Saccharomyces cerevisiae S288C: one gene and its partners. Changing the gene in region 3 together with the main gene of any one other region gives a genetic interaction. Each region holds a gene or a part of one and is shown on either strand. Other genes may lie near its edges. The genes, in order: PBS2, PSD2, CET1 and CMK2.

Region 1 (8,464 bases), on a different chromosome or scaffold from region 3:
TTATTGCCGCTAGGGCTCTTAAATTTCCTTCTAGATGAATTTAACATGGAAGTGGAAAAGGGAGATAGTTTTCCTTATTACGAGACTTTATCACTAGAAGAATTCAAAAATGTCTGGTTTCATAATGATGGTCACGTTTGTATTATGGTGTTAGGCGAAATACCAGAACTGGATTATAGTATGGATACTGAAGCGGACACAAATGATAATTTTGGAACAGAAATAGAAACCACGAAGCACACCACCCAATATAAGAAACGAAAAGAACGTCGCAATTTAAATCTAAGTATGCAGTGGGAGAAGCAATGTCTAGGCATATTTGACCTCAAACCAGCATACCCTGGACGGTCAGCGCATGTGGTCACAGGAACATTTCTGGTCAATGCTGGTATTCGTGGAAAAGGTATTGGGAAAACACTAATGGAAACATTCATAGAATGGTCAAAGAAATTAGGATTTACGTCCTCCTTTTTCCCGTTAATTTACGGAACGAACGTAGGAATCAGAAGAATTTTGGAAGGATTGAACTTTAGGCGGATTGGAAAGCTGCCTGAAGCCGGGATTCTCAAGGGCTTTGATGTCCCAGTAGATTCTTTCATGTATGGTAAAGAGTTCACACATATTACGAAAAGTATAGATTTGTTACGAGATCCTCAAAAGAGTATCGAAATTGGGAAATATGAACGATTAAAGCATTTTCTGGAAACAGGCAAGTATCCTTTACATTGTGATAGAAACGAAAAGGCTAGATTAAGAGTACTTTCCAAAACTCATTCGGTATTGAATGGCAAGTTGATGACAAAAGGAAAAGAAATCATTTATGACACGGATCAACAAATCCAGATTGCATTAGAGATACATTTAATGGAACATTTAGGCATCAACAAGGTGACCTCCAAAATTGGTGAAAAATACCATTGGAGAGGAATCAAGAGTACTGTTTCGGAGGTAATCTCTCGGTGCCAAAAATGCAAGATGAGGTACAAAGACGGGACAGGGGTAATAATTGAACAAAAGAGAGCAGTTAAGCAGGCGCATATGCTACCGACGCAGCATATAGAAACTATCAACAATCCAAGAAAAAGCAAGAAGCATGATAATGCGTTATTGGGACAGGCAATAAATTTCCCTCAAAATATTATTTCCAGTACGCTGAATGATGTGGAGGGTGAACCCACTCCGCCAGACACTAATATCGTACAACCCACATTCCAGAACGCCACGAATAGTCCCGCAACAACAGCTGAAGCCAACGAAGCGAATAAAAGATCCGAGTTTCTTTCCTCAATACAGAGCACGCCACTATTGGACGACGAACAGTCAATGAATTCCTTCAATAGATTCGTGGAGGAAGAAAACTCAAGAAAAAGACGAAAATACTTGGATGTTGCCTCCAACGGAATTGTACCCCATTTAACGAATAACGAATCGCAGGATCACGCGAACCCCGTCAACCGTGATGAACGAGATATGAACCATTCAGTTCCCGATTTAGATAGAAATGACCATACTATAATGAACGATGCTATGTTGAGCCTCGAAGATAACGTCATGGCCGCTCTAGAAATGGTCCAAAAGGAACAACAACAGAAGATAAATCATCGAGGTGAAGATGTGACTGGCCAACAAATCGATTTGAACAACAGTGAAGGTAATGAGAATTCAGTCACTAAGATTGTTAACAACGAATCTAATACATTTACAGAGCACAATTCTAATATTTATTATTAAATTGCGACTCTGCCAGAGACGGTCACATCACCAACCCTAGAAACTATAAAGTTTGTACAGAAAAAAGGTACATTTAATGATGCGTCCACTTTTGGAACAGGGTTGACAAGTCTTAAATCTTATTTCAGAAGTGATTTTTGAAGTAAAATTGGAAACTGAAATTGGAAACAAGGCACTCAACTCAATTATGCTTGCATGACGAAAGGTTCTGTTACAGTTTTACGTTGAAACCTAGGTACTGCAGAAATCCATAATCGGAGATAAATAACTAAGCTTTGTGCTGCAAAATTTTCCAGATTAGGAAACCTGATCCTCAGTGCCCTTTTAAGTACTGCTGTATCTGATGCCGTGAACGAGACACTATTGGCTGCGTGGGCACGTACCAAGTATACTCATCAAAATTTGTCTTAGGTTTTCCGATGCGGAAAATGGCAGCGCACAATTTAAATAGAAAAGGAGTTAAATGTACAGCAGCAAAATCAGTCACTCACGGAGAAAAGCTACGGTAGCGTAACGAAGAGCACATTGCTACTAGCAGCCAGCTAGATAATTGCAGCAGTGTACAGTTTACGCGACAATAAAGAAAGCATGATTTTCTTTTTCAACCAGATCCGTTCAATATTTACAGCTTTGCATACGCCAACTCAACAGATCCAATTATCAAGAAGGGCCTTTTTCCAATTCTTAGGCTATTTGGGTAGTTGTGTTGTGATTTCATTAGCAGCTCAATCGAAATACGTGCAGTAAGAAATGAAATAATGACCTGCAACAGTCCTTCTTGAGATGGAATGAAGTAATTGCTCTTTGAACGAGAGCACAAAAGCAAGCAGAAGTCGCGTATGTCAAGCCCATGATATAGCTGCTTAGATATATAGGTAGATATAAATAAGCACAATGGCTACAGTAATTGTGCGGTGCAGGGAGGCAATGTTTAGTGCATCTCCTCTACATCATTTCTATTTTTAATCTCGTCCACGAGAACGATTTAAGGAAATGGGGCTTCAAAAATAAAAAAATCAAATGAAAGTAATAATCTTTCAGCTTAGACTTATTTTTAGTTGAAACACTTGAATAAGAGTGCAGACACTCAATCGTGGTGTAGCTACAAGAACATATGGTGGCGTGTTTCTGCTGCAACTGTCAAGATCGTCTGTGTCTTAATGAGGTGATATATAGAACTGCTGAATACGGAGCCGTTTGTCTTTTACTGCGGGATTAACTTCAACAGCTACGGCCGAAGCCAATTCTGGCAAAAGGCAATGACTAAGTCTTGTTTCTCATGTAGATTACTATTTTGAGCGTGTTGCTTTTCTGTTCCCCTTGAGCATAGCAGCAGGCACGGAAGCATACAGAATATTCACTAACATGAGAACAACTCATTACTAGACTACTACCAGTTACTACACATCGATACAACTCCCCAGAAATATCACTGTTGAGAGTTCATGTCAAGACGTAGTATAGTATTGCAACAGGAAAAAAAAATCTTATTGCGTAGCACTCTGTATCTATTTTATATATCTGTTTCTATATTTGATTAATCTCTTGTTATCTTGGTGATGATCGCACAAGTATGTACTCCTGTATCTGCAAGAATATCTGTTTTAAACTTTTCAAAGCAAGGAAACCCCGTCTTATATAGGTTATCCGCAAAGGTCACATTTTCTTGCAAATAGAAGAAAAAGCACCCACAAGCACACTAACACAGTGCCAGAGCAAAACTATATCCTTTGCATCCGATCTCAAACGCTGTTCTTATCGCATCTGTCTTCGTCCTTTCATCTGCATTTACCTTTTCTTTTTCATCCTCTATTTGCCTTTTCATTAGTGGCAATTTTTCCAGTTTTTTCCCTCTGCGTCCCGTTGCACCTGAAAGGATCTTTCTAACGTGTGTTGTCTACTAGTGAGCGATTTCGTGAGCCATACACGTTCTATAGAAAATTGAATAAACTTTACTTCAAAGGGATCTGGACACAGAGATAACTGCTTACCTGCTTGCCGGAAGAAAAGAATTACTAAAAAAGAAGACAAGGGTAGCTGCTATTGTGGGTACACGTTTCACAGAACTACTTTTTCCTTGTCCTTCTCCAGACATCAACGTCATACAACTAAAACTGATAAAGTACCCGTTTTTCCGTACATTTCTATAGATACATTATTATATTAAGCAGATCGAGACGTTAATTTCTCAAAGATGGAAGACAAGTTTGCTAACCTCAGTCTCCATGAGAAAACTGGTAAGTCATCTATCCAATTAAACGAGCAAACAGGCTCAGATAATGGCTCTGCTGTCAAGAGAACATCTTCGACGTCCTCGCACTACAATAACATCAACGCTGACCTTCATGCTCGTGTAAAAGCTTTTCAAGAACAACGTGCATTGAAAAGGTCTGCCAGCGTGGGCAGTAATCAAAGCGAGCAAGACAAAGGCAGTTCACAATCACCTAAACATATTCAGCAGATTGTTAATAAGCCATTGCCGCCTCTTCCCGTAGCAGGAAGTTCTAAGGTTTCACAAAGAATGAGTAGCCAAGTCGTGCAAGCGTCCTCCAAGAGCACTCTTAAGAACGTTCTGGACAATCAAGAAACACAAAACATTACCGACGTAAATATTAACATCGATACAACCAAAATTACCGCCACAACAATTGGTGTAAATACTGGCCTACCTGCTACTGACATTACGCCGTCAGTTTCTAATACTGCATCAGCAACACATAAGGCGCAATTGCTGAATCCTAACAGAAGGGCACCAAGAAGGCCGCTTTCTACCCAGCACCCTACAAGACCAAATGTTGCCCCGCATAAGGCCCCTGCTATAATCAACACACCAAAACAAAGTTTAAGTGCCCGTCGAGGGCTCAAATTACCACCAGGAGGAATGTCATTAAAAATGCCCACTAAAACAGCTCAACAGCCGCAGCAGTTTGCCCCAAGCCCTTCAAACAAAAAACATATAGAAACCTTATCAAACAGCAAAGTTGTTGAAGGGAAAAGATCGAATCCGGGTTCTTTGATAAATGGTGTGCAAAGCACATCCACCTCATCAAGTACCGAAGGCCCACATGACACTGTAGGCACTACACCCAGAACTGGAAACAGCAACAACTCTTCAAATTCTGGTAGTAGTGGTGGTGGTGGTCTTTTCGCAAATTTCTCGAAATACGTGGATATCAAATCCGGCTCTTTGAATTTTGCAGGCAAACTATCGCTATCCTCTAAAGGAATAGATTTCAGCAATGGTTCTAGTTCGAGAATTACATTGGACGAACTAGAATTTTTGGATGAACTGGGTCATGGTAACTATGGTAACGTCTCAAAGGTACTGCATAAGCCCACAAATGTTATTATGGCGACGAAGGAAGTCCGTTTGGAGCTAGATGAGGCTAAATTTAGACAAATTTTAATGGAACTAGAAGTTTTGCATAAATGCAATTCTCCCTATATTGTGGATTTTTATGGTGCATTCTTTATTGAGGGCGCCGTCTACATGTGTATGGAATACATGGATGGTGGTTCCTTGGATAAAATATACGACGAATCATCTGAAATCGGCGGCATTGATGAACCTCAGCTAGCGTTTATTGCCAATGCTGTCATTCATGGACTAAAAGAACTCAAAGAGCAGCATAATATCATACACAGAGATGTCAAACCAACAAATATTTTATGTTCAGCCAACCAAGGCACCGTAAAGCTGTGCGATTTCGGTGTTTCTGGTAATTTGGTGGCATCTTTAGCGAAGACTAATATTGGTTGTCAGTCATACATGGCACCTGAACGAATCAAATCGTTGAATCCAGATAGAGCCACCTATACCGTACAGTCAGACATCTGGTCTTTAGGTTTAAGCATTCTGGAAATGGCACTAGGTAGATATCCGTATCCACCAGAAACATACGACAACATTTTCTCTCAATTGAGCGCTATTGTTGATGGGCCGCCACCGAGATTACCTTCAGATAAATTCAGTTCTGACGCACAAGATTTTGTTTCTTTATGTCTACAAAAGATTCCGGAAAGAAGACCTACATACGCAGCTTTAACAGAGCATCCTTGGTTAGTAAAATACAGAAACCAGGATGTCCACATGAGTGAGTATATCACTGAACGATTAGAAAGGCGCAACAAAATCTTACGGGAACGTGGTGAGAATGGTTTATCTAAAAATGTACCGGCATTACATATGGGTGGTTTATAGCGTTAATATCCAAATAAAAGCAAACAGGCACGTGAATATAACAACAAAAAAAAAGCAGACGAAAAGCTACTGTGGAAATGATGCGGCGAATACAAAAAAACCTTACATATACATATGTTTATTGTAATAAACTTGCATTATACTCGTTATAGACATATATATATATATATATTCATATATATATATCGTCTGACTTCCTTTTGTCGAACCTAAAAAAGGGCACGAATTATGACAGAGTATTGAGGGGATGTTATTTCAAGCACCGGCAAGTGAAGCGATGTGGACGTCAATATATTGTGTTATTCGATTATTGCTACGGCCATCGACTCCTCGAAATTATTTACGTTCGGGGCTGACAACGCAAGAAAGAAAAAATGCTCTGGAATTGTCTGATGGTTTTTCCGCTCTTTACGGCTCAAGGCTAGGAAAGAAAAAAAAGTCCAAAATCATCGAGAAAATAAAAGGTGTTTTGAAAGTTCAAATCCACGTTATTGAGAGTAGATGTGGAGTCTGGACCAGGAACTATACCTGTATCTTACCCTAACTTCTAAATTTTGCTACTTTCACGGAAAACAGTAAATAATTACCTATCAAGATAAAGAGCTCTTACATTATTAGAAACTTTTTGTTACTGTTGCTTTCCTTTCGCCCATTGTTTTTACCTTACCATTAGCATCACTGATTCCACACTTGTATTGCCTTAAAAAGAAGGAGGGTATTCTATTGGCTCTCAAGGAAGTCATTCCTATCCATTTTACTTAAAGTTATTACCTTTTTTTGATAACTAACAATGCATTTTAGAAGAACGATGAGTAGAGTGCCCACATTGGCATCTCTTGAAATACGATATAAAAAATCTTTCGGCCATAAATTTCGTGATTTTATTGCTCTATGTGGTCACTATTTTGCTCCAGTTAAAAAATATATCTTCCCCAGTTTTATCGCGGTTCACTACTTCTACACGATATCCCTGACATTAATAACTTCAATCCTGCTATATCCCATTAAGAATACCAGATACATTGATACATTGTTTTTAGCAGCGGGCGCAGTTACACAAGGTGGCTTAAATACTGTGGATATCAACAATCTAAGCTTATACCAACAAATTGTTCTGTATATCGTATGCTGCATATCAACACCAATTGCAGTTCATAGTTGCTTGGCATTTGTACGGCTTTACTGGTTTGAGCGCTACTTCGATGGTATTAGAGACTCTTCTAGACGAAATTTTAAGATGAGAAGAACGAAAACAATCTTAGAAAGGGAACTAACAGCAAGAACCATGACCAAGAATAGAACAGGTACCCAAAGAACGTCTTATCCTAGGAAACAAGCTAAAACAGATGATTTCCAAGAAAAATTGTTCAGCGGAGAAATGGTTAATAGAGATGAGCAGGACTCAGTTCACAGCGACCAGAATTCTCATGACATTAGTAGGGACAGCAGCAATAATAATACGAATCACAATGGTAGCAGTGGCAGTTTAGATGATTTCGTTAAGGAAGACGAAACGGATGACAATGGAGAATATCAGGAGAACAACTCCTACTCGACGGTAGGTAGTTCGTCTAACACAGTTGCAGACGAAAGTTTAAATCAGAAGCCCAAGCCAAGCAGTCTTCGGTTTGATGAGCCACACAGCAAACAAAGACCCGCAAGAGTTCCCTCAGAGAAATTTGCAAAAAGAAGGGGTTCAAGAGATATTAGCCCAGCCGATATGTATCGATCCATTATGATGCTACAAGGTAAGCATGAAGCAACTGCTGAAGATGAAGGTCCCCCTTTAGTCATCGGGTCCCCTGCGGATGGCACAAGATATAAAAGTAATGTCAATAAGCTAAAGAAGGCCACCGGCATAAATGGTAACAAAATCAAGATTCGAGATAAGGGAAATGAAAGTAACACTGATCAAAATTCCGTGTCAAGTGAAGCAAACAGTACGGCGAGCGTTTCGGACGAAAGCTCGTTACACACAAATTTTGGTAACAAAGTACCTTCATTAAGAACAAATACTCATAGATCAAATTCGGGCCCGATAGCCATTACTGATAACGCAGAAACAGACAAAAAGCATGGGCCATCAATTCAATTCGATATAACTAAACCTCCTAGAAAAATTTCAAAAAGAGTTTCAACCTTCGATGATTTGAACCCAAAATCTTCCGTTCTTTATCGAAAAAAAGCATCGAAGAAGTACCTCATGAAACATTTTCCTAAAGCGCGGCGAATACGGCAACAAATTAAGAGAAGGCTTTCTACTGGTTCAATTGAGAAAAACAGCAGTAACAATGTTTCAGATAGAAAACCTATTACTGATATGGATGATGATGATGATGACGATGACAACGACGGCGATAACAACGAAGAATACTTTGCTGACAACGAAAGCGGCGATGAAGATGAACGAGTACAGCAGTCTGAACCACATTCTGATTCAGAACTCAAATCGCACCAACAACAGCAAGAAAAACACCAACTGCAGCAGAACCTGCACCGCATGTATAAAACCAAATCATTTGATGATAATCG
Region 2 (8,159 bases), on a different chromosome or scaffold from region 3:
GAAGCTATCAAACATATTGACGATTTTTACGATTCTTACAATAAAAAGAAGGAACAACAATTGGAAGATGCTGCTAAGGAAGCTGAGGCTTTCTTAAAGAAAAGAGATGAATTTTTTGGTCAAGACAATACGACCTGGGATCGTGCACTTCAATTAATTAACCAAGATGATGCCGATATCATTGGGGGTAGAGACAGGTCTAAGCTTAAAGAAATTCTTTTGAGATTGAAAGGTAACGCGAAGGCTCCCGGTGCTTAAATGATGATGAATAATAAGAACCATAATGAACTAAGGAAGAGAAGGGGCTTATTCCCTATCATTCCCGTCATACATGAGTATCATACTTGATAGGTTCAGTAAATAACTAATTCATACTGTAAATTCATTTATCAAGACAACTATAATATAGATTATTTACAAACTTGTAAACTCTTCTCTTCTAAAAAAACACATCACATAATACTAAGCTGAAACAAAAAGAATAGTATATATTTCCCAAAGTTGCAATGCCAATACTTTTTCAAGTAAACATTAACCAAGGACTTCGCAAAGAATTTTGCGAAAAATGGGCTGATTTTCATTTTACTTGTTGGATCCACGAAGGTGAATGTAAGAAGCATCACGATGCACCGCAATTTGTTGCCCATTAATCTGCGCCTTTTCGTGACGAATAAATATTCGATACACTGCCTTAATATAGTCCATTTTAGACTTGGAAAAAAACCCTTGGTGAAATATGAATTTATTATCTTTTCGTTTATATTTGCATAATTATCATCAATTGTAACTTCATGTATTTCATTTAGTCTGTCCATTACATGCTTCAAATTTGATGAAGATATGGGCCAATCATTATGGTTCTTGACCCCAAGGTATTGAGAAAAGTTCCTGACTTCGTGGCCGCCGACATTCTTATTTGATTTCGTCCCTGAAGTAAAAAAGAATTTTAATGTTCTGTGATATACTGCCAAAACTGTGAAAATGGCATTGATTGTGAAGAAATCTATTAAAAATGGCCTATGGTCAAAAAGCACACGGAATGGTAACGAACTCCTGTCCAGTTTGGCAAATAATACAATAATCGCTAAACACACAAGAATTTGCTGGAATTTTATTAATGTACCCTGGGAAAAATTTTTTTTTTTCAACCATTGTGTTAATTTTGCGATCTTTAATTTGGAGGCTATAGCTTCCACAAGAAAGTGTGCGATAATCCACGAAGGTACCTCACCCTTGGTAAGCATTAACGATATTCCTACAATGGAAGACCAGTGAATATAATGATTTTTTAAAAATGGGAACTTCATCAAAGTTGGATATAGTATGTTCAGCAAGACTAATATAGTAGACTCTCTTAGCCATGGCATGATATCATTTATTTGAATATTTTCACCCTGTAATTTTTTCAATTTCCATTTTTTGACATAAAATACTAGGTTTATTCCATAGACTTGGGTTATTCTTTTCAAGATGATGACGAGTTGTTTTCTTCTCTTCTTGTTCAAGAGGAGTAGAAGCCTTCTTATTATCTGCTTGAAGCCAGAAACTGCTTTCCCAGTACCATTTGGACGATTGTGTTTCATATAGTTAGCAAGTGTATACTCTCATTAGCTCTGTTCGCGATGTGTATTTCGTGGTGCTTTATATAGGGTTTTTAACTTTTCCCCATGAACATTCGCTGTTATGTATTCGCAACTAAAAATAATGTCTCTCTTTAATTTTAATTTACATCCAAAGTACGGAAATGGTAACTAAACTATATACAAAAAAAGTTCGCTCAAAAAAAAGTTTAACTATTGTCCAATTGTGCCCATTTTGGTAAATCTGTTTTGAACTTGAATTTGCCATTAATCTCCTCATACTTCCAAGCATGCAACCATAATTCTAGGTCTGATAGCACAGGATCCTTTAAATCAACAGTATGACATTCAGGACAAAATGTTTCCATTGTCCGACAATTATTTTTTGTCTCATCGACAAATTTTTGAAACCTCACTTTCAATTCCTCAGCATCTAAATCCTGCTGATTCTCCCATCTAGGAAACTGAGTTATAAACTTAAGCCTTTCGGGGTATTTTGTAATATGCGAACAATAAACACTATCGTTGACGATGGGATGACCGAGCCTAGCTAAATGGATTCGAATTTGGTGTGTTCTTCCAGTTATTGGCTTACAAGCGACGACAGTTTCATCAGCATGAGAGAAGTATCTTATTGGGTAGAACTTGGTAATAGCATCCTTCGATGTCGATAAACCAACTGGAAACTGTCTCTTTGGATCGATAGAATATATGGGTGTCATTTCCACTGTAACTTTGGAAGTGTCCTCAAAAGTCGTTTCCGCCGCATTTTCATTGTCCAATATCAATTCGGAGTGAGGAAATCTTCCCTTGACCCTTGCCAAGTAGATCTTAATCATATCTCTTGAACGAATACTCTTCTGGATTTCCCCCGCACTCTGACTGTTCTTGGCCAATATCAACAAGCCTGATGTGATCTTGTCTAACCGATAACAAGGAAGAGCATCTACACCATGTAACTTCAGTAATTCAGTAATTGTGTTCTGGTAAAACTGACCGGTTGGATGCACTGGTATACCACTGGGTTTATCAATGACGAGGATACTCTCATCTTCAAAAACAATATTGAATCCCGCTATTCTGCCAGGTAAATCCTCCGCTTCAACTTCCTGGCTACACCATTGTTTTACCGGCGGTTCGTGCTTATGCGTAGTTGTTTCTAAAACATCATGATTCTTGATTATGGTAGTCATGAGATGATCTGGTACCAGCGGCACACCATCTCGGATCAACCTATATGTGCCTTTCCTTATTTGGTCCAAATAATAAGCTCTTGGGCGAAGTTTAAATTCACTAACGAGAACGTCTATTAGTAACTTACCCAACCAGCGCCCCTTCACGAACGCTGATCTTCTGTTATAATAGGGCCGTACCTTTCTCAGTCCATTCTGTGTATATACCTCAATAACTTTGATAGTTGACATACTTGACAATCATCCTTTTGCCCACTGATTGTCTCGAGCAATCGTCAATAAAGTTTTCACAAGAAACATTTATTTGCCTTTTAATGAAAGAAAAAAAGTAAATTTTTCATTAACTTTTATCATTGTTATCAATCTTCTTGTATGACAGCAAGCTATATATACATACATATGCAAATCTAATGTACATAATTTCAACTATTCATACCATTAGTACCATAAAGTCATTCTTTTTACTGTAAACTACACTTGCATTATCCTTCCTCGTCCCTCTTTATTCTTATAACGTTGAACAGTGATTTCTTACCATGTGTATTTTTGTACTCAACCCGCAAAAGATAAGCATCCTCATACAGAAGTATTATTATTACCACTGTTACTTTTATTGTCGTTATTTGTCTTGCGTTTTTATGTTTATGGAGATAAAGTGGGAATGACTTTATCATATGCAATTATTAGCCGCTATAAGGCTAAGATTCTTCAAATTTATTTCATTTTTCTTTTACCCTTGCCACCCTTGCCCAGTTGCTCCTCCTCTGCGGTTAGCAACGCATCGCGCTCCTTTTTAGCTCTTGCTTTTTCTTGTCTTTTTTGCTCTTCCTCTAATTTTTTGGCATTCTCTTTCCTCGAACCTTGTTCCCATTTAGAAGCTTCCTCCGCTTCTAGCTGCTCCATTTGTGCTCTTTGTTTAGCATGTGCCTGATCTCTTTTTCTTGCTAAGCCAGCTGCTTTCTTTGCGGCGGATTCTGAAAATCTTTTACCCATCTTTTTACTTCCTCTTTGCTATTCTATTATTTCCTGTATAGGCAGGTTTTGTGCTCAATTGATAAATTCTTTTACCTATTAAATATAAACTTGAGTTTCAACTTATTCAGCTTTATTTTAAACATTATACAAGTTTTTCATTTTGAGGGGTCTTTAACTGGAAAAAAAAAGCTTTCACGACTCAAAGAAAAAAAAAAAAATTTTTTTAGGGTAAAAAAAAACTAAGGGCTAATATGAAAAATACAAAGGTTATGTTACTTTAAAATGAGGTTTGGAAGAAGGAGAAAGACAAAAAAGCAGGGCACATGTCAAACTCTTGGAAACTTGAGATCCTAGCCCTAACGCATGTGCTACTTCAAGGAATTCTTCTTATATATGACAACTATTCCAATTTGATGCTAAAACTAGCCCAAAGTGGTTGATGCTGTATCAATTGGTAAAGAATCCTCGATTTTCAGGAGCATCCAACGACGAAGATGAGGATTATTAAGGGCAGAAAGCGAGGCAAGAACAAGAAGCCAACGCTAATTTTAAAAATTCATGTCATTCAAGCTGAAAATATTGAAGCCTTGAAGACATTCAATTGTAACCCGGTATGTTTTGTTACCACTAATACATTTTATAGTCAAAAGACGAACAAGCTCAAGAACTCAAATACACACTGGAATCAAACCTTGAGGATCAAACTTCCGAGAAATCCAACATCTGAATGGTTAAGGATTATAGTATACGACGCCCTACCAACCGGAGCTCCCCCTACTACCCCCAGTAGACCAAGGACAACCACTGCAAATACATCTTCATCGACACTGTCAAATTCAGGGCTAAGTTCTCACTCTCATTCGTCGAGAAATTTGAATGTTACGTCCAAAGGTAATCAAACTTCAACATCAATTAATTCAGTATCATCTTCAGCTACACCGGCCCCTTCACATTCTTCCTCTTCTCTCTCAACAACAGGTCCCGGGTCCACACACAAAAATAGGATTAATAGCTATCTATATTTGGGTGAAGCAAAAATTTCATTACTGGATTTATTCAAGAGGAAGGACACCACGACGAGCTATAAATTTTCAATTGAAGCTCAGCGGTACCATCTATACGATATGAAAGGAGGGAAAGACCAAGATTCCTTGAACTGCAACTTTCTAGTGGGCGATATTTTGCTTGGATTTAAGCTAGAATGTAACGTTAAAAGAACCCCGACTTTTCAGGCTTTCAATGCTTGGAGAAATGAGTTGAACACTTACTTGGGCAGAATAGATAGAAATAAGGCCCGCATGAGATCTTCTAGTTCTTTGCCACCTCCACTAGAAGATATGTTGAGCAATAGTTCAGCTGTTAGTGGAAATGAAATACGACGCGAGAAACCATATAGCGATACTGATCTAGCCCACGATGAAGAGGTCAATGCCGAGGATGAAATAGATGCTGAGGAATCTATTGAAGATATGAATAGCAGCGGCAGCATTTGTACGGAGAGGAGGTACGATATAGACAATGATACTATATTCGACTCTATATCTGAGGTTGTTTCGCTAAATGATGAAGAACTAGATATTCTAAATGATTTTGAAGAAGCAGATCATCCAAATGTGCCAGACATAAATGTGCATGACATCGACGAAGATACCCGTATCAGTCTATCTTCAATGATAACAGCTTTAGATGAATATGATATCGTAGAACCAGAAGATGTTGCAAAATTACCTGCAGTGTCGGAAAATGACATAACATCAGTGGATGACGAAGAATCTGAAAACCAACAGGAAAGTGATGAGGAGTTTGATATATATAATGAGGATGAGCGTGAAGATTCTGATTTTCAATCAAAAGAATACATTGGGAGTCGGCTTTTACACCTGCAAAGGGGTAAACATAATAAATCATATGCAAATTACTTATACAGAAGAGCAAAAAGTAACTTTTTTATATCGAAAAAGGAACATGCGATGGGGGTAGTATTTATGCATATTGGGGCTATCAAAAATTTACCTGCATTAAGGAATCGGTTGTCCAAGACTAATTATGAAATGGATCCATTTATCGTTATTTCGTTTGGTAGAAGAGTATTCAAGACATCTTGGAGAAAACATACTTTAAACCCAGAATTTAATGAATATGCCGCTTTCGAAGTTTTTCCCCATGAAACGAATTTTGCTTTCAGTATCAAAGTTGTTGATAAAGACTCATTTTCATTCAATGATGACGTTGCAAAATGCGAACTGGCTTGGTTTGATATGCTGCAACAGCAACAACATGAAAACGAATGGATACCTTATGAGATACCATTGGATCTCACTGTTGAGCCAGCACATGCTCCTAAGCAACCGGTATTATATTCGAGCTTCAAATATGTTTCATATCCGTTCTTAAAAAAGAGCTTTTGGAAAGAAGCTGTTGACACATCAGTCAACTTAGAGAGACTCGACATTATTCAAGTAATGCTCTATCTTGAACGTCTTGGTTCATTCACGATGGCCGATTCTTTTGAACTCTTTCAGCATTTCAATAAATCTGCTTGGGCCGGCCAGAGCATTACTAGATCACAATTAGTTGAAGGGCTACAGTCATGGAGAAAATCCACTAATTTTAAACGCATCTGGACATGTCCTAGATGCATGCGTTCATGCAAACCAACTAGAAATGCTAGACGTTCTAAACTGGTTCTAGAAAATGACTTGATAACCCATTTTGCCATATGTACGTTTTCAAAAGAACACAAAACTTTAAAGCCGTCGTACGTCTCATCTGCATTTGCATCCAAGAGATGGTTCTCTAAGGTTTTGATAAAATTAACTTATGGTAAATATGCTTTGGGATCTAACAATGCAAACATCTTGGTTCAAGACCGAGACACAGGGATAATTATTGAGGAAAAAATAAGCGCACACGTAAAGTTGGGAATGAGGATTATATACAATGGTAAAAGTCCCGAGTCTAAAAAATTTAGATCCCTCTTGAAGACTTTATCAATCAGGCAAGGCAAAAAATTTGACAGCACTGCATCTGCCAAACAAATTGAACCTTTCATAAAGTTTCACTCGCTAGACCTTTCACAATGCCGAGATAAAGATTTTAAAACATTCAATGAATTTTTTTACAGGAAACTAAAACCAGGAAGCCGGCTGCCTGAAAGTAATAATAAAGAAATATTGTTTTCACCAGCAGATTCAAGATGCACAGTGTTCCCAACTATACAAGAATCGAAGGAAATATGGGTGAAAGGAAGAAAATTTTCTATTAAGAAACTAGCCAATAACTATAATCCGGAAACATTTAATGACAATAACTGCAGTATTGGTATATTTAGACTGGCGCCACAAGATTATCACCGGTTTCACTCACCATGTAATGGTACGATTGGAAAACCTGTATATGTGGATGGAGAGTATTATACTGTAAATCCAATGGCCGTTCGTAGTGAGTTAGACGTCTTTGGTGAAAATATCAGAGTTATTATCCCCATCGATTCTCCTCAATTTGGCAAACTACTGTACATACCTATTGGTGCAATGATGGTTGGATCCATACTATTGACCTGCAAAGAAAACGATGTAGTTGAGAGTGGACAGGAGCTGGGCTATTTTAAATTTGGAGGTTCTACTATAATAATCATTATCCCGCACAACAACTTCATGTTTGATTCCGACCTTGTGAAAAACTCTTCAGAACGCATTGAAACGTTAGTCAAAGTCGGGATGAGTATAGGACACACATCAAATGTGAATGAATTGAAGAGAATCCGTATTAAAGTAGACGACCCAAAGAAAATTGAACGGATCAAGAGAACAATTAGTGTTAGCGATGAAAATGCCAAGAGTACAGGAAATGTAACATGGGAATATCATACTTTACGGGAAATGATGAATAAAGATTTTGCTGGGCTATGAAGCCGCCGAAAAATTGGCTGTAGTTAGTGGTTACCAAAATGGAAAAAAAAAAAAAACATGAACAATCTCCCTCAGACTTTATTATAGACTATAGCGTGTACAAACAAGTCATCGTTGATAATGAAAGCAATGGTTTCATACCAGGAAATTTCCTATGAAAAATATGCATTTTTATTAGTAACAAAAGAAACTATATTCCTAGTCCTCTTGCAGAAAATACGATATAATACTTAAGTTAATATTTACAGTGCAGTAAGTACCTTTTTCATGACCTCATATTCGTTTGTTCCTCTTGCAACCTGAATGGAATTTTTTTCAAAGGTACTTCTCGGCCTTTCTTGTTAGATTGCTTTCCATATGTTTTATCGGAACCCAATCTAGCATAATTTATAGTCCTTTTCTCCTTTGAAACATCAATACGATCTAGGAAACTTTGTGAGAGAGATGGTATAATGGATTGGCATAAAATGGAGAGGATTCTAGACGTTTCCATAGCCAAA
Region 3 (7,721 bases):
TCACGATGACCTCCAAGCTGTCGCGGTCGCCGTTTCTACTAAGAAATAGAGAGAGCACTACGTAGTCCCTCTTTTAATATGTAACGTGTCGCTTCTATTTATCAGACATAATAGTAATTACTTTGTTATTTTTCTATCGTTTCCTTACTTTAGCCTCTGATTTCGATCTGGCCTAATCATTGTGTACGTCTATAATCATATGGCCCTGAGCGTACACACCGTTCAATTCTTCTATTTGGTCGGCCCACACAAATTCGCGCGGGGGCATATTGACGCGTGGAAGAATAGAAGTCCGCGTAGCAGCTCTGGGGTAATTAGGCTTTTACGATATCGGCTGGCCCAGCACCGGTTTTTATTCCTCCCGTGGTTGTTGTCTCTACCGTGAGGAGGGGAAAGGGTCAGGGACGGCCGGTAGTTATGTTGTCTCAACGATTACTGCCATCTATTGTTTACACCAATCGCGTGGGGCAAGGGGCTGGAAGGCTGTGGTGTACAGAATAGGGTCTAATACCCGATGCGCGACGCTCCTGCGACTGGTTGTGTGAGCCACCCCTTGATCGCCTCTGCCAAATACTCAGGGAAGAGAAAAATCGCGAAGGTGGACGAGTGCCCTTAAAGAACCAGCATCCTCGATCGCCGCTGCCGTTCGCCCTGGCTTAGCGGTGGGAAGCATCCTTTGGCTTTCGAATTCTCCGCCGTTGAGTCCCCCTAAGGGCCTTATTTATCCCCTCTATTTTTTTTTAGAAAATGTTTTCTTTTTCAAGATTTGTTTGCTCCTTCACGGCTTCCCCCTTAACCGTTCAACAGTCTTCCGTATATAACAATCTCAATCCACTCTTATTGCCTATAATTTTGATTAATTCTTATTCATCCCGGCAGATAAAGTTTCGTCTTGTTTTGAAAGAGACAGGAGTTCTTGGCTGCAGTATTTTGCAACAGCTTCATTAACCATGTATGTAAAGAAAAAATCTGGAGCGACTTACTGGCTTAGCTTTTTTTACTAACACATAAATAATACTGTGATAAGATAAGAAAAAAACACGAAATGGAAAATACCACGAATCGTAATACTGCAGGCGTTCTTACGAGCAGCAATGGTAACTTTGCCACCAATAGTGTAGCGGCATCAACTCCGAAGAGGTCCAAAAGTGCTCGAAGGAAAACGTTCAAATGCACCGGATATGACGGTTGTACGATGTCCTTCACTAGAGCGGAACATCTTGCACGTCATATAAGAAAGCACACTGGTGAAAAGCCGTTCCAGTGTCCTGCATGTTTGAAATTCTTCAGTAGAGTTGATAATTTGAAACAGCATCGGGAATCGGTCCATGCACATAAAAACCACCATTCTACCAGCTCGCACCAGCGTAAGCCTTCCTCTTCATCTTTATCCTCCTCTTCTTCTGCATCTTCTTCGTCTTCTGCTTCATCATCTACATCATATAGTGATCCTTACAGGAAAACTAATATTAATAGCGGGAACATGCCGATGATGGCAGAAAACGAAAAAGCGCCCCAAATAATACATTCTTCGCCGGAGTTCATTACTAGCACGAGAAGCATCCCACCCATCTCTCCAAGGTCCATTTATAATACCCAACGACAGCAACAACACCAACAACAACAGCATCAACAGGCTCCCTATTATTTTCCTTCCCATCCAATCACTGATAGTTACTACCAGTATCCTCTTCCCAGTAATAATAACACCATCAATTATTTACCATCAGTAGATGTGCAGTATCCTTTGAATGTGAGCCCCTCCTCAACGAGCCATCCGGCCTCTGAGGTAATCATATCGTCCTTTCCTCCGAGGTCCATGCCAAGTACTTCCTTCAAATATAAAGATTCTGCCGACTTTCAAGCACGGACAACTATGAACAAATACAATATTAGACCAAGCAATATCAATGTCAATACTAGTAATATCAATAACCATCTTGATTCATTCTCCCCGCCGTTTTCTCCGTCAACGACAGTTGCTGAAGCAAAACCAATTATTTTACCACAGTATCAGCAGGCATTTAGCCAACCACCAAATGGAAATAAAAACAATAATATGTCTTCCTCGAAGAATGGCGGCAAAGGGGGAGAAAATTTCAAGAATACTGATGATCGCAATGATAATAATAACAAAAAGAGGTCGGAAACTTTATCAGAGTCTGATATTTCGGTCAACACCAATAAGAAAAGGCTTAGTGTTGATTACATATTGACTTGATCGAGGCAATCTGATCTAAGTTTCAAATATTCCGTAGAGTATAAATATCTTACAACTAATATAATTCTTAATATGCGCAAACAAATTATGGTGCGCATCTTTTTTTATTTTTATGTTTTGTTCCATACTAAATGCAGTTTATAAAATTTTTCAAATGAGTCAAGCTATGTATAATCAGTGCTACAAAAATGATAAGATGCAATTGCAAGAAAAAATCCCTTGCATAAAGGGCTTTCTGACCTCTTGCGTTGATCAACGAGAAATAACCGCAAAACTTAATTTTAAACTCCCGCGTCTGCTTTACACAGCCCACAGTAGCATCAAAAACTACGATGTAACACTAACGGTGGATTGTGAATACGGAACGAACAATCCTGCATCTTGACTTCAAAACTTGATCATATACACCTATACCGCCATGGTTATCTCGCCCTTACGCTCACCCGGACCCCCGTTAATTGCAATAATAAGAAAAAGAAAAGAAAGAAGCTTTTTATCTCATTTCACTGACAAGATGACGCTTTTTCCGATTTTAGCAGATAAACTATCACATATAACCACTTTTTTATATTACATGAAATGATGCCCTACAACACCCCTCCAAATATCCAAGAACCTATGAACTTCGCAAGCAGCAACCCCTTTGGTATTATTCCAGATGCGCTCAGTTTCCAGAATTTCAAATATGATCGTCTTCAGCAGCAGCAACAGCAGCAGCAACAGCAGCAACAAAATCGCACTGCGTCATCGTTACAGCAGCCGCAACAGCAACAACCAATAAGCCCGCCTTTGTTTTTAGTAGGGGCCGGTACCAGCGAAAACTCAAACCTTAACAAGAATGCCAACACTAGTACTATCCCTCCTTTACTCTTTAGCAGATCGTCTCAGCATTATGTTGTCCCAGATATAGACCACTCCTCCATAATATACAAGAACAACATCTGCAAATCTTTCAAAGATGACTTATTTTTCTGTCCAAGATCTTTACTTTCTCTCGAAGAACAACAAGCATGCGAGAAAATGGATAGGCTGACCGCTGAACAAATGTCATTGTATCATCAGAACACGCAATCCAGTTCTAATCCTGGTTCTATGTCTTCTTCACCTCCAAATTCTGCTTCTTCTATATTCAACTCTAGGCCGAAGTTCAATCCTTATACATCTCAAAGTTTTAATCCTTTGGAAAGTGTTCAAGAATGATCGCGATATGGACAAACACGTTGTTTTGATTTCTTTTTTGCATATTCCTCATTTGAACAAATCTTGTGTCCATGTTATGTTACGTTATGTTATATTATGTCAAGCCGTTTCATTTCCTACTTATTTTTAATTATCGGTTTCTTCTATTCATGTAGTTCACTATTCAATTAGTATATGTAGATAAAAGGAGAAGGGTTTTATCTGCAAACAGACGCAAGACGTATGTACTAAGCACTAAATACTCATATAACCATATTCTTTCAAAAATACATGCCATTTTTCTGTTTCATAATAATCCTGGAGGCTACAAGTATGGTGATATAATAAATCTTGAACCTTGTTTTACTGGAACTCCTAAAGTCAAGCCATACATAATGCCAGAAACAGGACCTGCGTAGATAACATATAACATGTACCAGTCATGATTACCCAACGTGCCGTTACAAATGATATATAGACCTACATTTTAGTTAGTTTCGTCGTAAGTTATGGTAATAAAGGAAAAGTCCTCTAATGAATCTATAATATAGGTTCACACAAATAAGAGTGATAATTAAAAGCGTATTCGACACTGAAAGATCTGCTGGGAATACTATACTGATATTTCCAAAATATCCCTTATAAATTGAATCTGGAATAGCACTTCTTTTTTTAAAAAACCTTGAATTGTTGGTAGCATTTCTATCCTCCCACTATGAGTTACACTGACAACCCTCCTCAAACAAAAAGAGCTTTATCGTTAGACGATCTGGTGAATCACGATGAAAATGAAAAGGTTAAATTACAAAAATTAAGTGAGGCGGCTAATGGCAGCAGACCTTTTGCCGAAAATTTAGAATCTGATATAAATCAAACGGAAACGGGCCAAGCTGCTCCGATTGACAATTACAAGGAGAGTACTGGTCATGGCTCGCACTCACAAAAACCTAAATCACGCAAGTCATCTAATGATGATGAAGAAACCGATACGGATGACGAAATGGGTGCAAGTGGAGAAATTAATTTTGATTCAGAAATGGACTTTGACTATGATAAACAACATAGAAATTTACTATCCAACGGATCACCTCCTATGAATGATGGTAGTGATGCCAATGCGAAGTTAGAAAAGCCTTCTGATGATTCAATTCATCAGAATAGCAAGAGTGATGAAGAACAGAGAATACCGAAACAAGGTAATGAAGGGAACATTGCCAGCAACTATATAACCCAAGTACCTCTGCAAAAGCAGAAGCAAACTGAGAAGAAGATAGCGGGAAATGCAGTAGGAAGCGTGGTCAAGAAGGAAGAAGAAGCGAATGCAGCTGTAGATAATATTTTTGAAGAGAAAGCTACTTTACAATCAAAAAAGAATAATATCAAGAGAGATTTGGAGGTTCTGAATGAAATATCTGCGTCTTCCAAGCCCAGTAAGTACAGGAATGTTCCAATTTGGGCACAAAAATGGAAACCTACTATCAAAGCTCTTCAAAGTATAAATGTGAAAGATCTCAAAATTGACCCATCTTTTTTAAACATTATTCCCGATGATGACTTAACAAAGTCAGTACAGGACTGGGTTTATGCTACAATATACTCAATTGCTCCTGAACTAAGATCCTTCATTGAGTTAGAAATGAAATTTGGTGTTATTATTGATGCGAAAGGCCCAGATCGTGTAAATCCACCAGTTTCTTCACAATGTGTTTTCACTGAGCTTGATGCCCATCTAACGCCTAATATTGATGCATCTTTGTTCAAAGAGTTGAGCAAATATATTCGTGGTATTAGCGAAGTCACTGAAAATACAGGTAAATTCAGTATTATTGAATCCCAGACAAGAGATTCCGTCTATAGAGTCGGACTATCCACGCAAAGACCAAGGTTTTTGAGAATGAGTACAGATATTAAGACTGGGAGGGTAGGACAATTTATAGAGAAAAGACATGTAGCCCAACTACTATTATATTCACCAAAAGATAGTTACGACGTTAAAATCTCCCTAAACTTGGAATTACCTGTACCTGACAACGATCCGCCAGAAAAATATAAATCTCAAAGCCCAATTAGTGAAAGGACGAAAGACCGTGTTAGTTACATTCATAATGATTCCTGTACCAGAATTGATATTACAAAAGTCGAAAATCATAACCAAAATTCAAAAAGTAGACAATCAGAGACCACTCACGAAGTGGAACTAGAAATCAACACGCCTGCACTGTTAAACGCCTTTGATAACATAACGAACGATAGTAAAGAATATGCATCTCTTATTAGAACGTTTCTGAATAATGGTACAATTATTAGAAGAAAGTTATCGTCTTTATCATATGAAATTTTTGAAGGTTCAAAGAAAGTCATGTAATATTTGAATCATTTCAAAAAAAAATAAGCAAATGCCCTTGAGCGAGAAATTTTTTTTGTTTACTCAAATGCTGTTATGAAAGCTTATGTAATAATAATAATAATGATAATAATAACATAAAAATAATTACTCTAACATTTCTTATTATCTCTATATATCCCTAATAAATAGGCCATTCTTATAATAACCAAGTCTTTCGCCATTTTGATACTATCAATAGCTAAAGCCATCTTAGAGCCATCAACCTCATGCCAGGAAATTGGTATCTCCTCAATTTGGATTCTTTTTCTGATGGCTAAGATCAAAATTTCAACGTCAAAGATCCAACCCTCTGTATGCAAATACGGAAAAATTTTCAATATAGCGGCTCTGTTGAACAATTTGAATCCACATTGTGTGTCTTTGATAGACCTGATGCCGAAGATGAAAACTAAGGTATGGAAACCGTACATCAAGCAGTTTCTTATCATTGATCTCTTTATGACGGCTTCGGTATTTACCATATGTGCTCTGGAACCAATTGCTACTGCTGGTTTAGTCGTTTTTAGATCTGTACTAGACGTTTCAATTTTGCTAATAGCATCTATTAGTTTTTCTACATCACTGAACTTACTAGCACCATCAGCATCGGCAAAAAGACCATACTTACCTCTAATATGTAAAAAACCTTGTCTCACTGCGCCACCTTTGCCTCTGTTTTGAGAAAACTTGATGATTCTGAATTGTTCGTAGTTCAATTTGAACTGTTCTTTACAAATTTTCAAACAGTATTGTGTGGTATTATCTGTGGAACCATCATCCACTATGACAATCTCCCATCTGGAACCATATTTTTCCTTTAAAAAGCTGATTGCGTCTGTCAACATTAGTAAAATTCTACCTGTCTCATTATAGCTTGGGATAACAACAGATAAAAATATTTCTTCGTCATCTTGGTGTTCATTCAAGTTAGGTAAGGCACGACTAACTTCATGACCTTTTTCATCAATAGCTATGTATTTGAGCTCCTCTGGATATGGCGGCCTTGGTGTATGCGAAAATAAATAGACCAATAAATACAGTGAAAGCACCAAGGCTACTAAGAGCGTAAAAAAGACAGTGTTTCTGTTCTCAATCAGGAATCTCAACGCTCTCATTTTTGTTGTGCTTTGTGTAATTTTTGGCTGCCTCTCTGTTTTTGTCCCTTTCTTACGTTATCAAAAGCACCTAATCTATCCTTACAGCATCCAATTAGATACCACTACCTTTCCACAGTGACTATGGTCCTTTGTGCCACTTTAATTGCGATAAAGCCTTGAAAATTGGCACGTTTTCTTCTTGTTTACACTTTTTTTCGAATACGCCAAATTTCGCTTTCTCATGAAAAAAATGGCATACACTGCTTCGAAAGATACAACAGAGCCATGTGCATTAATATATATAAATTAAAAGGTACTGAAGTGATAACGGTGAAAATAGGATAACTATGTACACTTGACTTTGGACTTGTTAGTTGTGACTAGTATAGAAGTTACAAGATCAAATGGAATAAACCCAAACACCACATCTAATTTTTCAATGGAAAAAGAAAAGTTTCAAGGTGGAAAAAAAATTTTCAGCAGCATCGCAATAAATGTTAAAAAATAATAATATATTGCAACCTATTTAAGATAATACATATGCGTCGATCTATAGTGCATAATTTATATCTTGTAAACTGTAAATACAACGACAATCAGTGCTAATTCAACTCAGGATGCCTCCAAAGAAGTTTAAGGATCTAAACTCTTTCCTTGACGACCAACCAAAGGACCCAAATCTAGTCGCTTCTCCCTTCGGTGGTTATTTTAAAAACCCTGCTGCTGATGCCGGTAGTAATAACGCTTCCAAAAAAAGTAGCTACCAACAACAGCGTAATTGGAAACAGGGGGGCAACTACCAACAAGGTGGTTACCAATCGTATAACAGTAATTACAA
Region 4 (7,520 bases), on a different chromosome or scaffold from region 3:
CTTTACTTTTTTTGTTAAACTGAAATCTTTAAATAATCAAAGAGTTCAACGTTCGAGTAACTCTTTTTTGTTCTACTTTTAAGTAGCTTCACTTTTCTGAACAATTGAAATAGTTGAACAATTGACCACGCTACAACGGAATTTTGATAAAATAGCAAATGATGTTTTAATATATATAACTATTTATTATTTATGGTGGCTAAAAAATTTTCAGGTTTTCAGGCGACCTCTTCAGTATCCATTATATGCCGCGACAAACCCTTTTTCCAAAAACGGTCATCGATGTTTATTCCGAGTAGGCTCAGTTGCCTGCGCCCGGACCCTTCTTAAGGGGAAGTTCTCGAAACTTTATGTAATTTTAAGTTTAACATAAACTGTATAAGCCGCTGTAACACTGTACCAAGATAGGCGTTTTAATTACGGCCTAGATTGTTTAATATTTTGCTTAGAAATAATAGGGCACAAAAAAACATTCGAGGCTTAAAGTAGTGTCACATAAAAATGTGTCTTCTGGTACTTATTAGAAAAGGCTTCCCAAAAAAAGCACAAAAGAATTTAGTATTGAATGTTCATGCCCCTTGTCGGAATAAAAACGGAAAAAAGGGAGAGTAAACTAGTCTGTTGTAGCAGTAGGCAGTGATGATTATTCCTGGAAAAAATCAAAGATTCTGTCTTACACAACTTATTCAGTACAGTTTCGCTAAGTAAGGAAAGAAACTTTACAAGGGTAAAGTAGGTAAAGTTCTAAACTATATGTCAAGGGTGTCCCAAAATAAAAACTAACAGTACTTAATGAATAGAGTTCCTGGGATTGTGCTGATCCCAGTTTTCTTTGGCAGCTCTGAGCGCTTCTGCAACTCTATGTAGGCAATTTTTAAATCGGTTGACTTTTTCTCTAGATTTGTTCGGTAAAATGAGGTGTTCTTGTGATAAATTTTCTCTTTTGTTGTCACTTACGTCAACGCTCAGCCTAGGACATGATGTCTTAACCTTAATAGTTCTTCTCGACAATATATTTTTGAAATGTTCGTAATTTCTGAAGAAACTATTTTGTTTTTCAACACATACAGAACTTCTCCTCATGACAACACTTCTTACACTTTGATCTCTACTAAAGGTAGAATTTGGTGAAGCTAGATGGACTGGATAATATGGTGATGATTCCGATATTATTTTCAAATTAGGGGTCAAAATTCTGGACCACGTTGAAGGTTCCCCATACGGATCAGGAGCTGGGTTTGAGCAGACCCAATTTGCTGTTCTTCTCGAGATTGTCTTTGCAATAGCAGGAGTTATACGTTGCATTTCGGCTATCGCTTGATTAGTAGTGTCTTTTAAGGCACTTTCGTCGCTGGAAATTACTGTTGCATGTGTCAATTCGATTGAGAAGGGGTTACTATCTCTTGTGGCCTTTTGTTCCGGAAACGTAAGCAGTTTATTGCCTGAATCAGTAGAGACAGTTCTACCGATTTTTTCAAACTTCCTCTGTGTGGTGCTTTGTTCATTGCGAAAATTTGATCGGTATAAGCGATGTGTACGGTTTAAAGTAAGTTCTTGAAGGGTAGGATTGTTGCTTTCATTAATTTTTTCTAAAGAAAAATTACTTCTCAACAAATATTCAGTTTTTGCTGACGTTGTAAGTGGGAATTCGACGGAGAATGTTTTATCATCGCAAACGTTCTCACTTGTGCATGAACTTTTTGTTGTTTTTGATGTAGTGGCGTTCTTTCCCTTTTTATTCAATATCTTTTTCGATATATAGTGTAAATTTTTGGTGTCACTGTCTAGAGAAAGGAAAGTCTTTCTTGGTGTCTTTTCCCAATTTACAGATACTCTATAATTTACTGTCGTAACCGCAAAAGAATCCACTGAATCTAATTTTGACCATCTTATTGTTCGTTTGAAGGAAAAGCATAAAAATTTGCCGGTAAATTTTCCAATTTTCATACCGTCACCATGAAAAACTGCTCTTTTATCGTCAATAAAAACATTTGGAACATTAACGTTAGTTCTCAAATACAGAATTGCCTCGCCGGTTTTTTCATCCTTTACGCTCTTATATATGAGATCGTGGAAATGCTTGACAAACAAATTATTTAAATTTGCATGAGGTTCTGCAAATAGCAACATGTTGTTTTTAATCCTTCCAAGAACTTTTTTCATTAGTGCAAAATAGGGAGTGAAGACAGCATGGAAAGCGCTTTTTAACGTTTCATTCGTAAAGTTCAAACTGTTCACGGAACATTTTCCAGGCCAGTGGAATCGTACCCAATAAACAGTTGGACATAGAACTAGGACTGGCATACACTCTTCCATTTGGAGAATGGATATTAGTATAATGTAAATATAATTGATTTCATCTGGATGTCTCTCAAAGTCAGCAACGCTGATTCGTTGGATGTATTTGTTTGAACCTGCCAACAGCCTGAAGTACTCTAATTTTTGTTTGTATGTAGCGAAATTAGTAAATTTAGCCAATCTTAGCATGCCTCTAGAAAATGATATATTGATGCTTTCGAAGCCTGGTAATCTAGAGTATTCAATGAACATGATTGAAAAAGCACTAGGCCAGGTGATTATACCGCAGACTTACGGTAATATAAGGGCAAGAGAACTAAAAAAATCAATAATGTAGGCTTATATTACAGTTCTTTGTGAGATATTCCTTTCTAGAGCGTTTTCTGTGTCCACTCAATTAATATATACACTTCCCGTATCCTAACATTTACTGACACAATGATAGGCACAACGCGCGAAGGAGCGGTGGGGCTTTGAACAATAAGGACCCTTACATAGAAAAGGCGTTAGAACAACAATATGGTTAGGCCATAGAAACCTCGGTGTCTTTTAGGAACTTCACAGAATAGAACATACTGCAGTAGATATAAATACACCACTGGGGCAATGCAGCCTGGTTTTTTCCAAATATACAAAACACTTCATGATACTTACTAATGGTCGTTGATACAGTACTCATTGTATCATTGCAGGAGAGTTAGGTTGGCTTTTTTGCATTTATTTATTTATTCATTTACTCAATTGACAGGCAATGTCAATGATTTTTTGGAAGAAATTTGCCTAATGTTTTTACTCAGTTACTCACCGCTCCCTGGATAACATAAGGTTCATTTGCTTCCGTACTGATTTTTTTTGGCAGTCTATAAGCCACTATGTACTTCCCAATGCTCCTGCAGGCATATTCTTTTTCAATTTTCATGTTTTTACTTCCAGTCGTTGAGCATCATATGGATTCTATGTTGATGAGGCTTTTCAGAACGTGCTGTACTTTCGGAGAAGCGCCCGCTTTAACGCAGCGCGAAGAGAATAATTGAGGCTTATCTTAGAACCCTGCCCCCTTTGAAGCCACCCATTGCTGTTTCTCTTGGTAATCCTAATAATATAAAACAATACGATATTGTTCAAGATCAGCAGAACTTCAATTCGTTGATCAATCTTTTCGTCACCTTTTCTTCTATCACATCGCCAATATAAATATAGACACCAAAAATGCCCAAGGAGTCAGAGGTCATAAATTCTGAATTTCATGTAGATGTCCAAGATCCAGAGCGTCTAAACGGCCACCCTGTAGCAAAATTTATCAATAAATTAAGCGGTCAACCTGAATCTTACGTCAACAGGACTAATTATATTTTCGGTCGAACACTGGGTGCCGGTTCCTTCGGTGTTGTGAGACAAGCCAGAAAGTTGTCCACAAATGAAGATGTTGCTATAAAGATCTTATTGAAGAAGGCATTGCAGGGAAACAATGTGCAATTACAGATGCTGTACGAAGAGCTGTCCATTCTTCAAAAATTGAGTCATCCGAACATTGTGTCATTCAAGGATTGGTTTGAATCGAAGGATAAGTTCTATATTGTCACTCAGCTGGCAACAGGAGGTGAATTATTTGATAGAATTCTGTCTAGAGGGAAGTTCACAGAAGTGGATGCTGTTGAAATCATAGTTCAGATTCTTGGTGCCGTGGAGTATATGCATTCCAAGAATGTTGTTCATAGGGATTTGAAACCTGAGAACGTTTTGTATGTTGATAAGTCAGAAAATTCGCCTCTGGTAATTGCGGACTTCGGTATAGCTAAACAATTGAAGGGGGAGGAGGATTTGATATACAAAGCAGCCGGATCGTTGGGTTATGTGGCACCAGAAGTCCTCACACAAGATGGACATGGTAAGCCTTGTGATATATGGTCCATTGGTGTGATCACATATACTTTACTGTGCGGTTATTCTCCTTTTATTGCCGAAAGCGTTGAAGGATTCATGGAGGAATGTACAGCTTCGAGATACCCGGTAACCTTCCATATGCCATATTGGGATAACATATCTATTGATGTTAAGCGTTTCATCTTGAAGGCATTGAGATTGAATCCAGCTGACAGACCAACTGCTACGGAATTGCTGGACGATCCATGGATTACTTCAAAGAGAGTTGAAACTAGTAATATTTTACCAGACGTTAAGAAAGGGTTTTCTTTGCGTAAGAAATTACGTGACGCTATTGAAATTGTGAAGCTTAATAATAGAATTAAGAGGTTAAGAAATATGTATTCATTAGGGGACGATGGCGATAACGATATAGAAGAGAATTCCCTCAATGAAAGTCTTCTGGACGGCGTCACACATTCGTTGGATGATTTACGTCTGCAATCTCAGAAGAAAGGGGGAGAACTAACAGAAGAGCAAATGAAATTGAAGTCTGCATTAACAAAGGATGCCTTTGTTCAAATTGTCAAAGCTGCAACAAAGAATAAACATAAAGTTTTGGCTGGTGAAGAGGAAGACGATAGCAAGAAAACACTGCATGATGATCGGGAGTCGAAGTCAGAAGACTAAATTACGGACTTGAATTCGTGTACATAAATTCGTATATAATATTTAATGTGTAAAGCTAGTGACGATTTTATGTAACCAGCAGCTACACTTCATGGCATTCAAACTATAGACCTTTTCTGGCATTACGCCTCAAGCTTCTTTTTTCCCGAGAATTATCTTGTAGTTGCCTAACGGGTTCTGAGAAGATCTCTATATCATCACAATTCCTATCACAATCTTTAGCGCCATTGTGTAATTCTCTTTTCCCAAAAGATTTATCTGTCCTATCTTCACCTTTTCTTGTCAATGTATTCTCCTCACTCAGATATTCTGAATCATAGTCATCGCTAACGTCAATGTCAACTTCATTTTCACTTTCCTCGGAAACGTCACCATTTACATCACTCGAGTAATGCACCGTGGTTCTTCTCTGAGAGCTTGTTCGCAAATGACGTCCTTCAGTACTGCCTGTAGGGGCAGCAGTTATGCGCTGAATAGTCTCATTTATGAATATACTGAAAATTTTCAAAAACTCAATTAGATTGTCTATACCCTTTTTTGTATCATCGGTGTCATTTTCAGTAAGTGATGATAAACTTTCCAAATACTCAATGAAGTTGCTCAAAGAATTCGAGTCTCCTGCAACTTCAAACCAATGCGGCACCTCGGCAAAGTGAACATCATTGAACTGTAAATTACGGATACATGCAGGAGTGTTCCTATATATAAGTTTAAGTTGACACTTGTTTTCATTTTGTGCGGTTTTTGCAGGCAGTATTTTTGTACCCTCCTCTTTGAATTTTACGAAGTAATTAAGATAAGTTGACATGTCATTGAAACTGTAACTAGTGTTTACTGAACTGCATTCGTTGCCAATCCAGAATGGTGGTAAGTAGAAATCTCCAACTCGTGGAATTCTCGCTATCATAAACTCTGATGTCCTTAACTTGTAAATTTCGTCTACGGTGGGATCATCAATTGGTGTGTGTGTAAATTCGTTTGCAAAATATTCACCCCATTCTTCATTTATTTTAACTGCAGCTCGTAATCTGTCTGTAGTTACTTTTTCGCTCAATGATTTCCGAACACCCTTTAGAAATTTCATCTGACTATTGATCTTACTCAGTTTTCCTTTGTCGCTGGGCTTCCTTTTCTTTCGATTTTCCAACTTTTGACTCATCAAAGAGCATAAAACTTCACAACTATCTAATATGTTATTGGCCCCGCACATAGCAAACCTGCTGGCGTGAAAAGTTTGATGGTTGAACCCTGTATCGCCTTTCAAGTGAGTGAGCCTTTGAATTTCATTATGGAAAAGTGCGGAGTAGCTACAATTCCAATCGATCATGCATCTCAATAATATTATTCTATCTAATGGTTCCATCGTCAACAAACCACCTCCATTAAAATTTAGAGTAGATAAAATATCACTATTACCACGCCATTCTTTTGGTAAGCCCCACTCCTGGATTAAGCTTCTGAGTTTGCCAACCAGTTTTCCATATGGATTTTTCAAACTAAGAAATCTTTTTAGCGTGAAATTTCTATGAGTTTGGTTGTCTGCTCTTTTCTCGGAGCAGAATAATAACCTCAAAAGACTGCAAAATAGTAGATTCATTTTATCCTGACAAATTCGAATATTCTTCGCAGAATGGCCAGCCACCTTTAATTCTAGTCCTATCTCCACATCTTGAAATGACAGGTTCAGTAGATCGTCGCTGAACACCCATTTAAATTTGACGATAAAAGAAAGGATCTTCATAACATCGCCTGCATATGGGAGAGGGGTGCAAAGGGGAGGCGCCCAATTGCTTTCCGTTACCGTCTCATCACTCATAAACTTTGCAAAGTCAGAATATCGTAAAGGAATATTTGGTGACCAGTTTAATGTATTCAATGGTCTATTATTAGAAGTAGTGTGTTCACTGATCGACTCTACCTTGTTAGTGTCGTTCGAATGTGTTTTGATATTAGAATATTTGCTTGCCATATTTGCCTCCATTTCTTTAGTTTTCATTTCTTCATCACAGGTACCTTCATATTTCTCCCGCTTTTTAGTATTTTGGGTAGCAGCATCCAGTGATTCGTCAATTGAACTATTGTGAGAAAGTACAACAGGTTCTTCTACAATTTTGATGTTTCTGAAATCATCAAAGGTCAACTGACCCCTTCTTTTTACCCTAGGCTTTGAAGACTGGTTTTTCTGTTGTTTGACCATAGGTTTCTTGATAAAGTCATCGACCAAGTCTAAATCAATAATTTCTGTCATTATTGTACCTCAAATTTCTTGTTCCTTATTTTCTTGTTTGATGTCTAAAAAAAAGAGATATCCTGGTAATGAGCAGGCCGTTTCTTCAGCTCATACAATCGAAAGCTTAAGAGTTAGTCGTTGATATGGTATTCTCTAATACCGAAAATAACTTAGTACATATAAACGCGTAAAGTTCACGCGTTTATATCACCCTACCATATGACATTCTAACCCTACTAATTTTTTATCAAAGCTAATAGGGTTGTATTTTATTATCTTTTACACCTACCTTTTTTTTTTGTATATGCCCTATAGATGAATTATAATTGTTGGACCGGTTTGTATTGGGCTTTTAAGGTGTAAAGTGAGTGCGTATAGATTATAGCAGAATAGACTATAAGTACGGCAAGACAGGAAAGTCTCCAATTGATGTACATTT

The links.
Region 1: mutations in CET1 (region 3) and PBS2 together harm fitness more than expected from each alone (negative genetic interaction), as found in Saccharomyces cerevisiae (3 studies listed by BioGRID).
Region 2: mutations in CET1 (region 3) and PSD2 together harm fitness more than expected from each alone (negative genetic interaction), as found in Saccharomyces cerevisiae (2 studies listed by BioGRID).
Region 4: mutations in CET1 (region 3) and CMK2 together harm fitness more than expected from each alone (negative genetic interaction), as found in Saccharomyces cerevisiae (2 studies listed by BioGRID).

The regions. Positions count from the first base shown.
Region 1 is NC_001142.9:175,565-184,028, reverse strand, and holds PBS2 (mitogen-activated protein kinase kinase PBS2), read left to right. Parts: upstream 1-3,925; coding exon 3,926-5,932; downstream 5,933-8,464. Other genes in the region: SPT10 (Spt10p), read left to right, coding at 1-1,731; MCO6 (Mco6p), read left to right, coding at 2,320-2,478; TRK1 (Trk1p), read left to right, coding at 6,723-8,464. UniProt on the Saccharomyces cerevisiae protein: Kinase involved in a signal transduction pathway that is activated by changes in the osmolarity of the extracellular environment. Activates the MAP kinase HOG1 by concomitant phosphorylation at 'Thr-174' and 'Tyr-176'.
Region 2 is NC_001139.9:832,900-841,058, forward strand, and holds PSD2 (phosphatidylserine decarboxylase 2), read left to right. Parts: upstream 1-4,242; coding exon 4,243-7,659; downstream 7,660-8,159. Other genes in the region: clathrin light chain CLC1, read left to right, coding at 1-258; PEX35 (Pex35p), read right to left, coding at 453-1,583; pseudouridine synthase PUS6, read right to left, coding at 1,790-3,004; LSO2 (Lso2p), read right to left, coding at 3,488-3,766; methionine--tRNA ligase MSM1, read right to left, coding at 7,925-8,159. UniProt on the Saccharomyces cerevisiae protein: Catalyzes the formation of phosphatidylethanolamine (PtdEtn) from phosphatidylserine (PtdSer). Plays a central role in phospholipid metabolism and in the interorganelle trafficking of phosphatidylserine.
Region 3 is NC_001148.4:114,267-121,987, forward strand, and holds CET1 (polynucleotide 5'-phosphatase), read left to right. Parts: upstream 1-4,115; coding exon 4,116-5,765; downstream 5,766-7,721. Other genes in the region: trifunctional fatty acid synthase subunit FAS2, read left to right, coding at 1-49; USV1 (Usv1p), read left to right, coding at 1,046-2,221; YPL229W (uncharacterized protein), read left to right, coding at 2,801-3,421; ALG5 (dolichyl-phosphate beta-glucosyltransferase), read right to left, coding at 5,897-6,901; NEW1 (New1p), read left to right, coding at 7,501-7,721. UniProt on the Saccharomyces cerevisiae protein: First step of mRNA capping. Converts the 5'-triphosphate end of a nascent mRNA chain into a diphosphate end.
Region 4 is NC_001147.6:292,108-299,627, reverse strand, and holds CMK2 (calmodulin-dependent protein kinase CMK2), read left to right. Parts: upstream 1-3,507; coding exon 3,508-4,851; downstream 4,852-7,520. Other genes in the region: IRC10 (Irc10p), read right to left, coding at 790-2,550; ESC8 (Esc8p), read right to left, coding at 4,955-7,099.